Lepisosteus oculatus: one gene and its partners. The protein of the gene in region 3 purifies or fractionates together with the protein of the main gene of each other region. This does not show direct contact. Links are inferred from orthologs where the notes say so. Each region holds a gene or a part of one and is shown on either strand. Other genes may lie near its edges.

Region 1 (3,746 bases), on a different chromosome or scaffold from region 3:
AAAGGCAAATATACAGAGGAATTCCATTTCATCTAAAATTTTGGATTCACTTTTCTTGTTAGAAACCTTAATAAGGAATTGCCAATTATCATTATTAACTCATCCATGCAGAAGGACTCTCTTATGCACAGGACAGAGATGGTGACTGCATGCACCTTCTGAAACATTCAAGGTAAAGATCAGCAGGCTGTGTCTCATGCCACCTACAGCACAGCTGTCGCCTTGGAGAGGGCCGATGCAGGCAAACACATCTCCAAGCTCACTGTCGTCAGGCAGGATTCAGCTGAAGCACACCCTGAGCAACTCAAACCTGTCCAGCCTTGACAATGGTCCAAGTCCCTATCGCACCCGACACAGCTTTATATTGACATCATACACTTGTCCACAGACACGCTGACATGCACGTGCACTTAAACGGCCTCCCAGCTCTAAGACATGATCGCTCTGCCCTCTTTCCATTTCTCTCTGCACACACACCCTCTCACTCCGTACCTGTGTGAGCGGCGGTCGGTTCAAGGGGCTGATCCCCTTGAGCAGCACAGCATTCCTGCGGGCGGCCAACCCGGTAACAACACCTTGACCCCTCCGGCGGAGAACGGGGGCCACCCCCCTCCGGCCTCGAGCCCCCAGGTATCCCACACCTCCCGGGAGGAAGAGGACAAGAGAGGAAACAGACGAGAAGGAGCGAGAGAGAGAGGAAAAAGAGATGGGGGTGACAGATGTGGCAGAGACAGGAAATAAGGAAGGGAGACAGAAAAATGTTGAGACAACACACGCCAAAGGCATCTTCGACAATCTTCAACAAGGGTATACTGTTTAATGCAACACTGCTAATAGACTTTATTTTATACAGCACCATTAAAAGTGGCTTCTCAAAGTGCTTTGGAGGCATCTCAACAATTACAATGCTTCCCTGCTTATCAGTGCATCAGTACCAGTATGTTCCCTGCGAGTCTATTAACATGTGTGACACGACAGGGTATCAGCATGTAGCTACCTCTCTGCTGCTGACCCCCTGCCCAGGCCGGCCCTCGCCAGCCCTGGGTGAGCCGGCCATTGACACGGGGCCTCCGGGGCCCAGCGCCAGCCCACTGGGTCCTCTGCTCCTTCCTGTTCAGTCGGATGATATCATCTGCGGGGGGTGGGAGGGGAGGATGACAAGGAGAGGAGGAGTGCGAGGTTATAAAGAGTGCCTGAGAGAGGATGGGAAAGAGACATGCATTGCACGCACAGACTGACTGCCCACGCTGCAGACAGACTTTCTAACATCATGGACAAGGTAAATTGACATGTACAGTGAACGTACTATGTGTAGGTATACTGTTCACTATATTCAGACTATGAGAAACGCTGTACTCTGTATAGACCATCACTGTACACTGAAGAAGGAGACTATGCATATATAAACTGCACTCTGTAGAAGACCAGAAAGCTGTACCCAGACAACTCGCACAGACTTTACTATGCAGAAAACTAGACTGAAATGCACGCTGTATGCACACCGCTTAGGGAAACGTGTTGTATGTAGACCCCTCTATAACTATAAGGGCTGGTGAAGGGGTCCCCTACAGATAGGACGTTTTTTCAGACCCTTAGGGTATTAGGCGCTATACAAATGAGGTTTGAATAAATACATAATTGGCCATTTCTGAGTTAATAGAGCCAACATCCTGAGCTTCTCGGTATTGAGCGTTGTTGTTTCTTTCTGTCGTGATCTCTGAACTATTGACTAGAACTCTGAACTGTTCAACAACCCACTTAAAAGTGGTTGAACCGAAACTGGTCGAAGCCCCTGCCAACTGGTGATTTAAGGGTGACCCGTGAAACCTGTCCTATTGGACTGCCACACTACACAACTCACACAAACCGGACAGCCACACACACACCGCTGTTACTGCAAGCTCTTTAACGACAAGCCTCTCGGTGGCTGGAGCTTTCCGTACAGTCCCGAAAGTAGTACCGTTATCCCCATCCCCCCGGTGTTTACCGCAGCGCTGCTGTCTGAGAGCTCTAAACCGGGCTGCCTCCCCACCTGGACTCCCCGGCTCCGTGCGGCCTTACCTAGCGACATGTCAATCTTATCCAGGCCGTCAGAGCCGCCGCTGGTCCCCGGGCCATTCCTCAAGGCAGGGACACCGCCAGACTTGAACCCGATACCGCTCATGTCAGGGCTGTGCCAGGCCTTTGTGTATACGTCTGTATTTTGGACTGGATGGCACAGTGCAGCCTAACCCCCACCTCCTTCTTCTCCCCGTGTCCATTCAGACACGAAACCTGCTCTGCGCAGGCGCGCAGCACACGTCACAGCCAATGACAGGAGACGACAGCTTTCTGAGAGGACAGGCTGTGCTCCCACTGCCAGCGGGGAGAGACAGAGATGCTCCACTGTGATAGATATTCTGGGATTCGACAAACACTCTTCCCTAAATTTATAAATCTAATCCCAGAATTCCCTCACCTGCCAGAATCACAACAACTCCCAATCCTACTGGGAGAGGGAGGAGGGAACTCAGCTGAACTGGCAGCCCAGGACGTGACCTCCTGTCACAGCCTGAGGAACAGTGAGCCTGTCTCCCAGTAATGTTCCATATGTCATGTCATCCACCAAACCTCTTTATACCATGCGGTGTTGGGGGAAGCCAGAGCCTACCCAGCAAGCAACTTGCGCAAGGCAGGGTACACCCTGGACAGGACAGGGCGCCAGTCCATCGCAGGGCGATCATACATGGGGACAATTTGGAGCCACGGTAAAGGCCGAGGGGGGAAATTTGGCCCCCTGGACACCGGGATAACTCCCTACTCTTTCTGAGAAATGCCTGGGGAGTCTTTAATGACCAATGAGAGTCAGGACCTCGGTTTAACGTCTGATCTGAAAGACAGCGCCATTACAGTACAGTGTCCCCGCCACTATACTGCATTAGGACCCCCGCTGGCCCCACTAACACCACTTCCAGCAGCAACCATAGCTTCCCAGGAGGTCTCCCATGCAGGTACTGGCCAGGCTCAACCCTGCTTAGCTTCAGTGGGTAGCCCGTTGAGAGCTGCAGGGTGATATGGCTGCTGGCGACATGTTCCATGTGTTTATATGTAAATAATTTATGATTGTGTGTTCATCCCCTTGTAATGGATAAAAAGGCGTATTGCACGATAGCCTGCGGTGTATGCACATACAACTGCGAAAGGATCCTCGCGTAAAAGGACGTTTCATCAAGCTTTTTTTTTAAATTAAGCCTTTGGTGCGTTAAACATTGCCAACAATGCATTTTTTCTGGTGCGTGTATCTTTTTTTTTTTAAAAAGAGGGTAACAAAATAGTAAATACATTTTGTTAGAATTCCACTATGTTACCAACACCGATGCCTTGTAGGATCTTTGGCCTTTACTGTTTCAGAGTTCATATAGAATTATTTGTGTGAATTGTTGGCCTAATGGGTCTCTATCACTCCTGTTGTCACATCCTTAGCCAGTTTTTTGTACTCACCCATTATGTAATTTGTAAGAAAAGGGGTGCCCTCCTGAAACTACCTTTTTAATTCAATTTAATCCTCTTTTATAAGGGGACTGCACTTCAGTTGTTAATGCTGGCTGAAGAGGTCCCCTATATATAAAATCTTTTGAGATCCTTAAGGACAATAGGCGTTATACCAATACAATGAAGAAGTATTTATAAAATGTATAACCTACAGACAGGAGTCCAAACCACAAATGAAGGGAATATCACTAGCCGTGTTGGTGCTGATAGCTTTT
Region 2 (3,746 bases), on a different chromosome or scaffold from region 3:
TGCTCAGTCTCCCACTACAGGGAGAGGAGACACAGGGTGCGAGTGACCTGCTCAGTCTCCCACTACAGAGAGAGGAGACACAGGGTGCGAGTGACCTGCTCAGTCCCCCACTACAGAGAGAGGAGACACAGGGTGCGAGTGACCTGCTCAGTCTCCCACTACAGAGAGAGGAGAGAGGAGAAAAGAGTGGGAGAGGGAGAGAGGGAGAGAGGGGGTGTCCTTACCAGCCTGGGCGCTGTCCAGTTTCAGTCCTTTGCCCTTGTAGCTCAGCTCCCCCTCCACCACCTGGGTCTTGGCCAGAGAGTCGGCCAGCTGGGCAATGTCCTCCGAAGCCATCGGGGTACCTGCAGCAGCACAGCCTTTATCACTGCGCCCCAACAACCAGCACAGCCTTCCACACTGACCCCCTCTTCCACACTGTACCCCAACCACCAGCACAGCCTTCCACACTGACCCCCACTTTCACACTGCGCCCCAACAACCAGCACAGCCTTCCACACTGCACCCCTCTTCCACACTGTACCCCAACAACCAGCACAGCCTTCCACACTGACCCCCTCTTTCACACTGTGCCCCAACCACCAGCACAGCCTTCCACACTGACCCCCACTTTCACACTGTACCCCAACAACCAGCACAGCCTTCCACACTGACCCCCACTTTCACACTGTACCCCAACCACCAGCACAGCCTTCCACACTGACCCCCACTTTCACACTGCACCCCAACCACCAGCACAGCCTTCCACACTGACCCCCTCTTTCACACTGTACCCCAAGACACAGCGGCGCATAGTGACCCCGTCAATACACCCTGAAACTACCCCACCAAGAGCGAGCCTGCCCCTCAGGCCTCAGCCCCCCGGTACCCCACAGCTGCGATGAAGGGCTCCAGAGCGAACAGGTGGCCACCTCCTCCTCCGATACCCCAGCCTCTCCCGCCCCCCCGGGGCCCCGCACTGCACCTCGCACGCTAAAGCGAAGGGGACCCCCCCCCCCCCCAGTACCCCGATAGATGCGTGCAGTTTCAATACTCTGCTCACGACCAGCACAGGAAACCATCACGATGACGACCCGGCCGCCGGTGTTTAAATGTCCCTCAGCCGGTGACAGCGCTCCCCTCCCGCCTCCCCTGCTGCCGGTCTCACCCACCCCCCCCCCCGGCCTCATTCAGATCCTAATTAGTTTAATATATATATAAATAAACAAAAACAAAACCGACGCCGGTGAAAATGTCGGCAGAAAAAGTTTTGACGTTCTCGAGCCTCGGACAATGCACGCGCGCCGGCTCGCCTCCCGCCCGCCCGCTCTCCCGCACGAGCCGCGGCTCGATCCCGGCTCCAAACGGACCCGCCCGCGTCAAGAAACCCGGGGATGCGGGTCCGGCGATTACCGAGAGAGAGAGTCGAGATCGCAGGCGTCCCTCGTCGTCGGGGTTTGAGTTCGAGGGGAAAACGAAAAAGAATCGCTTCCTCTTGCGGCCCGGTCACGCCGCGTCCCGCTCGCTGAGGGAAGCTGAAATGGCGTAGCGCTATTTTGAAACCGGCCTGCCGCTGGGCCCGACGGGAGGTGTAGTTCTAATCCCCTCCGCCTTCGCCGCCACAGCCGCCGGGCACAGAGGAAGACCCCAACTCCCAGGGATCTGTGCGGCAGAGTCATTACCGGGGTGTCGGGGGAGCTTGCTGGGCAGATGCGCGTTAAAAGTGAACATAACATCAAGTGTTATTTTTTTTTTTAATTTGCAGTCCCAGTGAGTCAGTTTTAAGAAGCACATCCTTCAGTTAGCGCTCTGATTATGAGTAAAGCCCTTTATGCATTAAAGGGACATTAACACATGTGACAGAATGAAGTATACCATACTATCCACAATTAAAAAAAATGACTATCCGCAATTTTTAACAACAAAAAAAAGAACATCAGTTATATTATTTCCCCTTCCCTGGACGTTTTCAGGCGAGGAATGCAGTATTTAAACGGGATCAGAGGGGTCAGAAACCCGGAGGCAGACTTTTCTCTCCCCGGGAAACCCGTCTCTCTTTAGGACCCGCGGGCTGAAGCAGCGGGGCCAAACTTGCTGGGAACTGGAAAGAATTGAAAGTGAAATTTCCCACATGTTTCCCCTCCATAGCGCCTGGCCCGGAGCCTGAGCCACTAGCAACAACTTCGGCTATGAAACCGTAGCGGCGCAAAAACACAGGCCAGTAGCCGGAGATACACGAACACATCCCCCACGCTGGAATTCAGCACAACAGGAAGGATAGCAGCCAAAGGCGAGTTGGTGTATTCTGTTGCTTTAGAGAGAGATGCTGCTGAGATGATGATTTAAAGAGCATGCATTAAGGCACAGATGCGGGTGATGTTTCTATCTCTCTCTTTTTTTTTTGGAAGACGCCAGTAAGTTAAAAACAACATCCTTACGCAAAAGTATTCTGATAACGCTGGCCTTCTGCTATCAGGAGAGGAAACCGTACCTGATTATTTTTTTTTTTGCAGGGGCTGGGGGAATGAGTTTGAGTCGTTCACTCCGATGACAGCGGAGTGGAAAAAGAAAACTGTGTTGTTTTTGTTTTCCCTCCCCAAGGATAAGTTGCAGGTATTTTGCGGGCACGACCGGCACCGACTAAATTAAATGAGCGCCGGGAAAGGCGTCGTAATTTGCCTTTTGGGATCATTCATGAAAGTGACGTTGCTGGCCCAGGCGTGTTGAGGTGATGCGGTGAAGTTCGCAGGTACTCGTTTCTTCCCTCAAAAAAAAAAAAACACCTAAAAACGTGTTCAAACCAGTTGCTATCGACTTACCTGTTAATACAACGCGCAAAACGGGGGAGGTGTGCGTAAATTTCAACACTCGCTTCCGTTTGAGCAAAACGGTCTATCGCCGGGCTTTACACGGTGTGCCCACAGTGGATTTAAATCGCTCGCTGTCGGTTTGGTACGGTTTTGTTGGCGACAGGAAGCGCCCGTCTTCCTTGCAGATCGGCACCGCCTGCGTGTCCGACGGGGCTGGCAGGGCTCCCCTCGTCAGCCACTGTGCGCACTCGAGCCCGGGGATGAGAGGTGTTGTGTAGGCCGGAGAGATGGATAAAGTTCAGTTTTCGCAAACGGCTTTCCTTGCGCCCGGTAGACATTTTATATGTGTACCTCTTTCTAGTTGAACCAAATCGCCCCGTGTAGCCTGACGTTGTAACTTTGTTTCTGATTGTTTGTACGAAACTACACAAAAATTTGAAAAGGTTGTGTCGTTGCCTTGGATTTTTCTGGATTTGTATCGGAATGCGGCGAAGTTTTAGCCCTGTTCTACTCGGACAGGCGACGAATTTAAATTCGCGGTATATGAAATTATTTCAGAAAGTTGTTTTTCCTAACTTGATAGCTACCCCACACAACATTTGGGACATATAGCGCCTTTCACGCCCTGCTAAATCGTGTCTTTCACAGCCCGACAGCGGAAATGTAATTAACTTGTCTTCACCGGTAACTGTACAAACAGGCCGTAGAAAAAGAAGAAAGCACATAAACACAGTTATGGGGGACATTCGGCCGGTCTAGTGCGTTTGTTTACGGATCTCATCGGGCTTTTAAGTGAAAGAAGCTGGTGTATCAGCTTTAACAGCATGGCTGGGTAACTTGTTCCACACCTCCACCTCCCTTTGCGTAAAGCGGTGTTTTGTCCCGAGTGAAGCATGTCAAACTGCCGTTTCTTGGAAGAAGCCAGGGTAGTGGCTTCAGCAACATGGCTGAGGGGAT
Region 3 (3,746 bases):
GCTGCCAGCTGGGAGTTGCAGAGTGATATGGCTGCTGGCCACTTAATTCAATCAATTCAATCAACTGCCCTGATTTATAATAATAATAATAATAATAATAATAATAATTGCTTACACTTATATAGCGCTTTTCTGGACACTCCACTCAAAGCGCTTTACAGGTAATGGGGATCCCCTCCACCACCACCAATGTGTACCCCCACCTGGATGATGGGACGGCAGCCATAGTGCGCCAGAACGCTCACCACACACCAGCTCTCAGTGGGGAGGAGAGCAGAGTGATGTAGCCAATTCATAGAGGCGGATTATTAGGAGGCCATGATTGGTAAGGGCCGATGGGAAATTTGGCCAGGACACCGGGGTTACACCCCTACTCTTTTCGAGAAGAGCCCTGGGATTTTTAATGACCACAGAGAGTCAGGACCTCGGTTTTACGTCTCATCCGAAGGACGGCGCCTCTTTACAGTATAGTGTCCCCGTCACTATACTGGGGCATCAGGACCCACATGGACCGCAGGGTGAGCGCCCCCCGCTGGCCCCACTAACACCTCTTCCAGCAGCAACCTTAGTTTTTCCCAGGAGGTCTCCCATCCAGGTACTGACCAGGCTCACACCTGCTTAGCTTCAGTGGGTTGCCAGTTGTGAGTTGCAGGGTGATATGGCTGCTGGCAATATCAGCAGCTGTTCCTGCATTAAGGCTCTGTATTTTATATAGCGCCTTTCACGACCAGTCCCCTCCGAACCGCGATGGGAGCGGCAGGCTCACCAGGAAGTGGAGGGAAGCTGACGTCATTGGCCCCGCCCAGAACGCGGAGACCCCACCCCACCCCTCGCCTCTCTTCGAAGCGTCCCGCGAGGAGCGGCGTCGCCTCAAACGGACATGCGCAGTATCCCGCACTCCACCTCCAGGGGGCGCCGCTCCGTCGCCCGTGGCCCCGAACCCCCCCCCCCCTCCTTTTCCCCGCCCCCTGTCACGTGACCCCCCCGCCCGGCTGTCTGAAGTTGGCGCGGGAGAGGCTCGCGCCGGGGGGTAACGGTCGCTCTCTGGAGCCCGGAATCACCTTGTTAATCAGCGACCATTATAATAATAAAAAATAAGTAAGTGAATAACGAATTTTAAGAAGTCATTGGCGACGGTGACGACGATGGCGTTCTTTCCCAAGTGGTACGAGGACTTCGCGGTGGTGAGGCGCAGGGACGCGGAGACAGGTACACGCGTGAGGAATGACTTGTGCTCGGTTAGTTTCGGACCTGTATCGCCCCACTCGTGTTTGTCACACACAGATGTGTCTGTCAGAGAGGCCCCCTCCCGAGCCGGGTTCAGAAACGGGGCTCACTCCGTCGCGCTGGCGTGAAACCCTCGGCACCCCCACTCCGCTAACAAACCCCACGATAATTCCTCCCCCGGGCGCCCGGTGGCGATTTGGTTTTGGCCGGGTTGAAGCGGGGACACGCGTGGGCCGTCTCGCTCGTGTCCGAGCGCCCACGTGAAACTGAGCTCCTTGCTACTCGTACGAAACACGTGCATCTAATTAGATAAGGGGTACAGGTCAGATCACACTGGGGGCTCCAGTCCAGTAGGACAGTCTGTTACACTGGGGGCTCCAGTCCAGTAGAAGTGTCTGTTTCACTGGGAGCTCCAGTCCCAGTCCAGTTACACTGGGAGCTCCAGTCCAGTAGAAGTGTCTGTTTCACTGGGAGCTCCAGTCCAGTAGGACAGTCTGTTTCACTGGGAGCTCCAGTCCAGTAGAAGTGTCTGTTTCACTGGGAGCTCCAGTCCCAGTACAGTTCCACTAGTATTGTTGGGCTCCTTGCTCCTGGTGCTGCTGGCGGTCCAGGAAGTGATGGAGTGCTCAGGCTCGGCTCTTGGTTCCTCAGGCAGCGCGGTGTCTGCCCCGGTCCTCCGGACCCCCCGGCCTTGTGGGCTTCCTCTCGGCCAGATCATGCGCCATCCCGGGCTTCCCCTGTGCCTCTGTCACTCGTGTCTTGTCAAATTCCCCGAAGCTGAATCTGCCCAACGCAAGGTTTACTGGTGGCCAGCCAGTGTCAGCTGGCGAAGCTGGAGAGCTCCGCAGTCATGATAGATGGCATCTGATTGCGGACGGACGCCCTGGGTTCTTGTGTGTTTTGTTATCACTGCGCACAGCCCCCCTCGGGTCTGAAAAGTGTTTTATACCTCAGCTACGCGACGCCAGCTCCCTGGAACCCCGCACCCTACCATATAGGGAGCCGGGCGTCCGTCCACACAGGAAGTGCGTCACCGGAAGCTGGCCGCTTGTAGTTCTGCGGGCTCGGGGCGGCGGAGACGTATTGCGCAAGCGCAGTGTTGATCTCCCAGCTTGTGTCGCCAAAGCACAGCGATCGCACTTGTGCGGGTAGAGGAAAGAAGCGCCGATCAGGACGTTTTTACAGTAGCGCGTCGGCTGGATTATTGCATGAGCACAGCAGGGTAGTCTTCTCGGGCCGTGCGAGTCTTCTCGGGAGCGATCGTGGGAGCTTTCTTTCGTGGAGTGCGTGGGGAGCATGGCGATGGCGGACGAGGGCCGGTACTATAGCGGTAAGTGATGGAGCTTCTCCCTGTCCAGCTCAGCCAAAATGGAGACCCGCGTCCTCCAGCTGGGGAGGCGAGGGCAGACTGCGGGCCGCCGAGATCTCAGGAAGGCGCCCTTCGTGACGCGCGGTGCGGGTTTGTTCTCGTCCTTTCGCGGATCGCGGCTCCGGTCCAGTCCGGTGCCGTGACGCGCTTTCAGCGGGAGGGCCAGTGTCGCAGGGCGCCTGTGCGTGCGTCTGTCTTCGTCCCCGTCCTCGCCTCGCAGTCGTGACGCCGACCCCGAGACCAGGAGACGGGCTGGGGAGAGCAGGTCGTTCCCGGGGCAGAGGGGACCCCCGCTCCGGCTGCTGTTCCCCTGTAGCTGCCCGGTGGTCGCACGGACCCCCGGTGGCGCAGAACAGCGGTCAGGCTGAAGTGTCGCCCCAGCCCCTCCGGTCCTGCGCGCTGCCGAGAGGACCCCAGGCTCCCGGCTCGGGATCGCTGCCGACCCCTCTCACCCTGACCGTCCTGTCTTTCCAGTCTCCCATCAGGAAAGATTAGGTCAGGTGGCACCAGGAGCACAAGGCAGACTCTCATTAATCACCTGCGTTGACCACTGGACATTACTTTAACTGTGTTATCAAAATTGAATGTTGATTATTTAGTTTACAGCCATAGTATTATGTGCAATAATAATGTTATCTGTATGTGGGTATTTATTATGGATAGTTTATTTATCATTTACAAGTATATATGTGTGGGATTATCACGTAGGGAGAGTTCTGACACCTTCTTGAAGTGCAATATATATTTTTTCTTTAATTTCTGAAATGTATGTCGTGTTTTATGTGTCTAGTATATGTGGCGTGTTTGTATGTATACAGTGTATGAACAACTCACCAAGTCAAATTCTTTGTAAGTGAACACTTACTTGGCCAATAAAGAGATCTTTTGATTCACCGATACTGTAGCACATCCATTAGTTATCCTGCTCCCAGAATGTGCAGGCGCTCGGGGCTGATCCAGTGACAGTGTATCACAGTGTCCACGGACAGCGCTGTTTCAGAGGGACAGGAGCTGCAGCAGTGTGAAGTCAACAAGCCGAAGGCCTGTGTGAAGTCAGTGTGCGAGTGTGAAGCACACTCCCTGCTTTAGAACATTTTCATACAGTAAAACCACTCGGATTCACACCCTTAGAATCGTGCACCACAGGGCG

The links.
Region 1: the proteins of nuclear RNA export factor 1 (region 3) and UAP56-interacting factor purify together in Homo sapiens (affinity purification with western blotting; 3 studies listed by BioGRID and IntAct, with this or other methods). This does not show direct contact. The link is inferred for Lepisosteus oculatus from reciprocal best matches to the Homo sapiens genes NXF1 and FYTTD1.
Region 2: the proteins of nuclear RNA export factor 1 (region 3) and rangap1b purify together in Homo sapiens (co-immunoprecipitation; 3 studies listed by BioGRID and IntAct, with this or other methods). This does not show direct contact. The link is inferred for Lepisosteus oculatus from reciprocal best matches to the Homo sapiens genes NXF1 and RANGAP1.

The regions. Positions count from the first base shown.
Region 1 is NC_090708.1:16,909,243-16,912,988, forward strand, and holds the start of UAP56-interacting factor, read right to left. Parts: upstream 2,287-3,746; 5' UTR 2,165-2,286; coding exon 2,062-2,164; intron 1,133-2,061; coding exon 998-1,132; intron 642-997; coding exon 493-641; intron 1-492. UniProt on the Homo sapiens protein: Required for mRNA export from the nucleus to the cytoplasm. Acts as an adapter that uses the DDX39B/UAP56-NFX1 pathway to ensure efficient mRNA export and delivering to the nuclear pore.
Region 2 is NC_090707.1:38,120,086-38,123,831, forward strand, and holds the start of rangap1b (ran GTPase-activating protein 1b), read right to left. Parts: upstream 2,821-3,746; 5' UTR 2,799-2,820; exon of another isoform or gene 2,773-2,798; intron 2,729-2,772; exon of another isoform or gene 2,420-2,728; intron 2,394-2,419; coding exon of another isoform or gene 2,347-2,393; exon of another isoform or gene 2,295-2,346; intron 2,270-2,294; exon of another isoform or gene 2,081-2,269; intron 1,560-2,080; exon of another isoform or gene 1,393-1,559; intron 345-1,392; 5' UTR 337-344; coding exon 225-336; intron 1-224. UniProt on the Homo sapiens protein: GTPase activator for RAN. Converts cytoplasmic GTP-bound RAN to GDP-bound RAN, which is essential for RAN-mediated nuclear import and export. Mediates dissociation of cargo from nuclear export complexes containing XPO1, RAN and RANBP2 after nuclear export.
Region 3 is NC_090713.1:22,974,472-22,978,217, forward strand, and holds the start of nuclear RNA export factor 1, read left to right. Parts: upstream 1-1,012; 5' UTR 1,013-1,145; coding exon 1,146-1,209; intron 1,210-2,296; exon of another isoform or gene 2,297-2,523; coding exon of another isoform or gene 2,524-2,557; intron 2,558-3,746.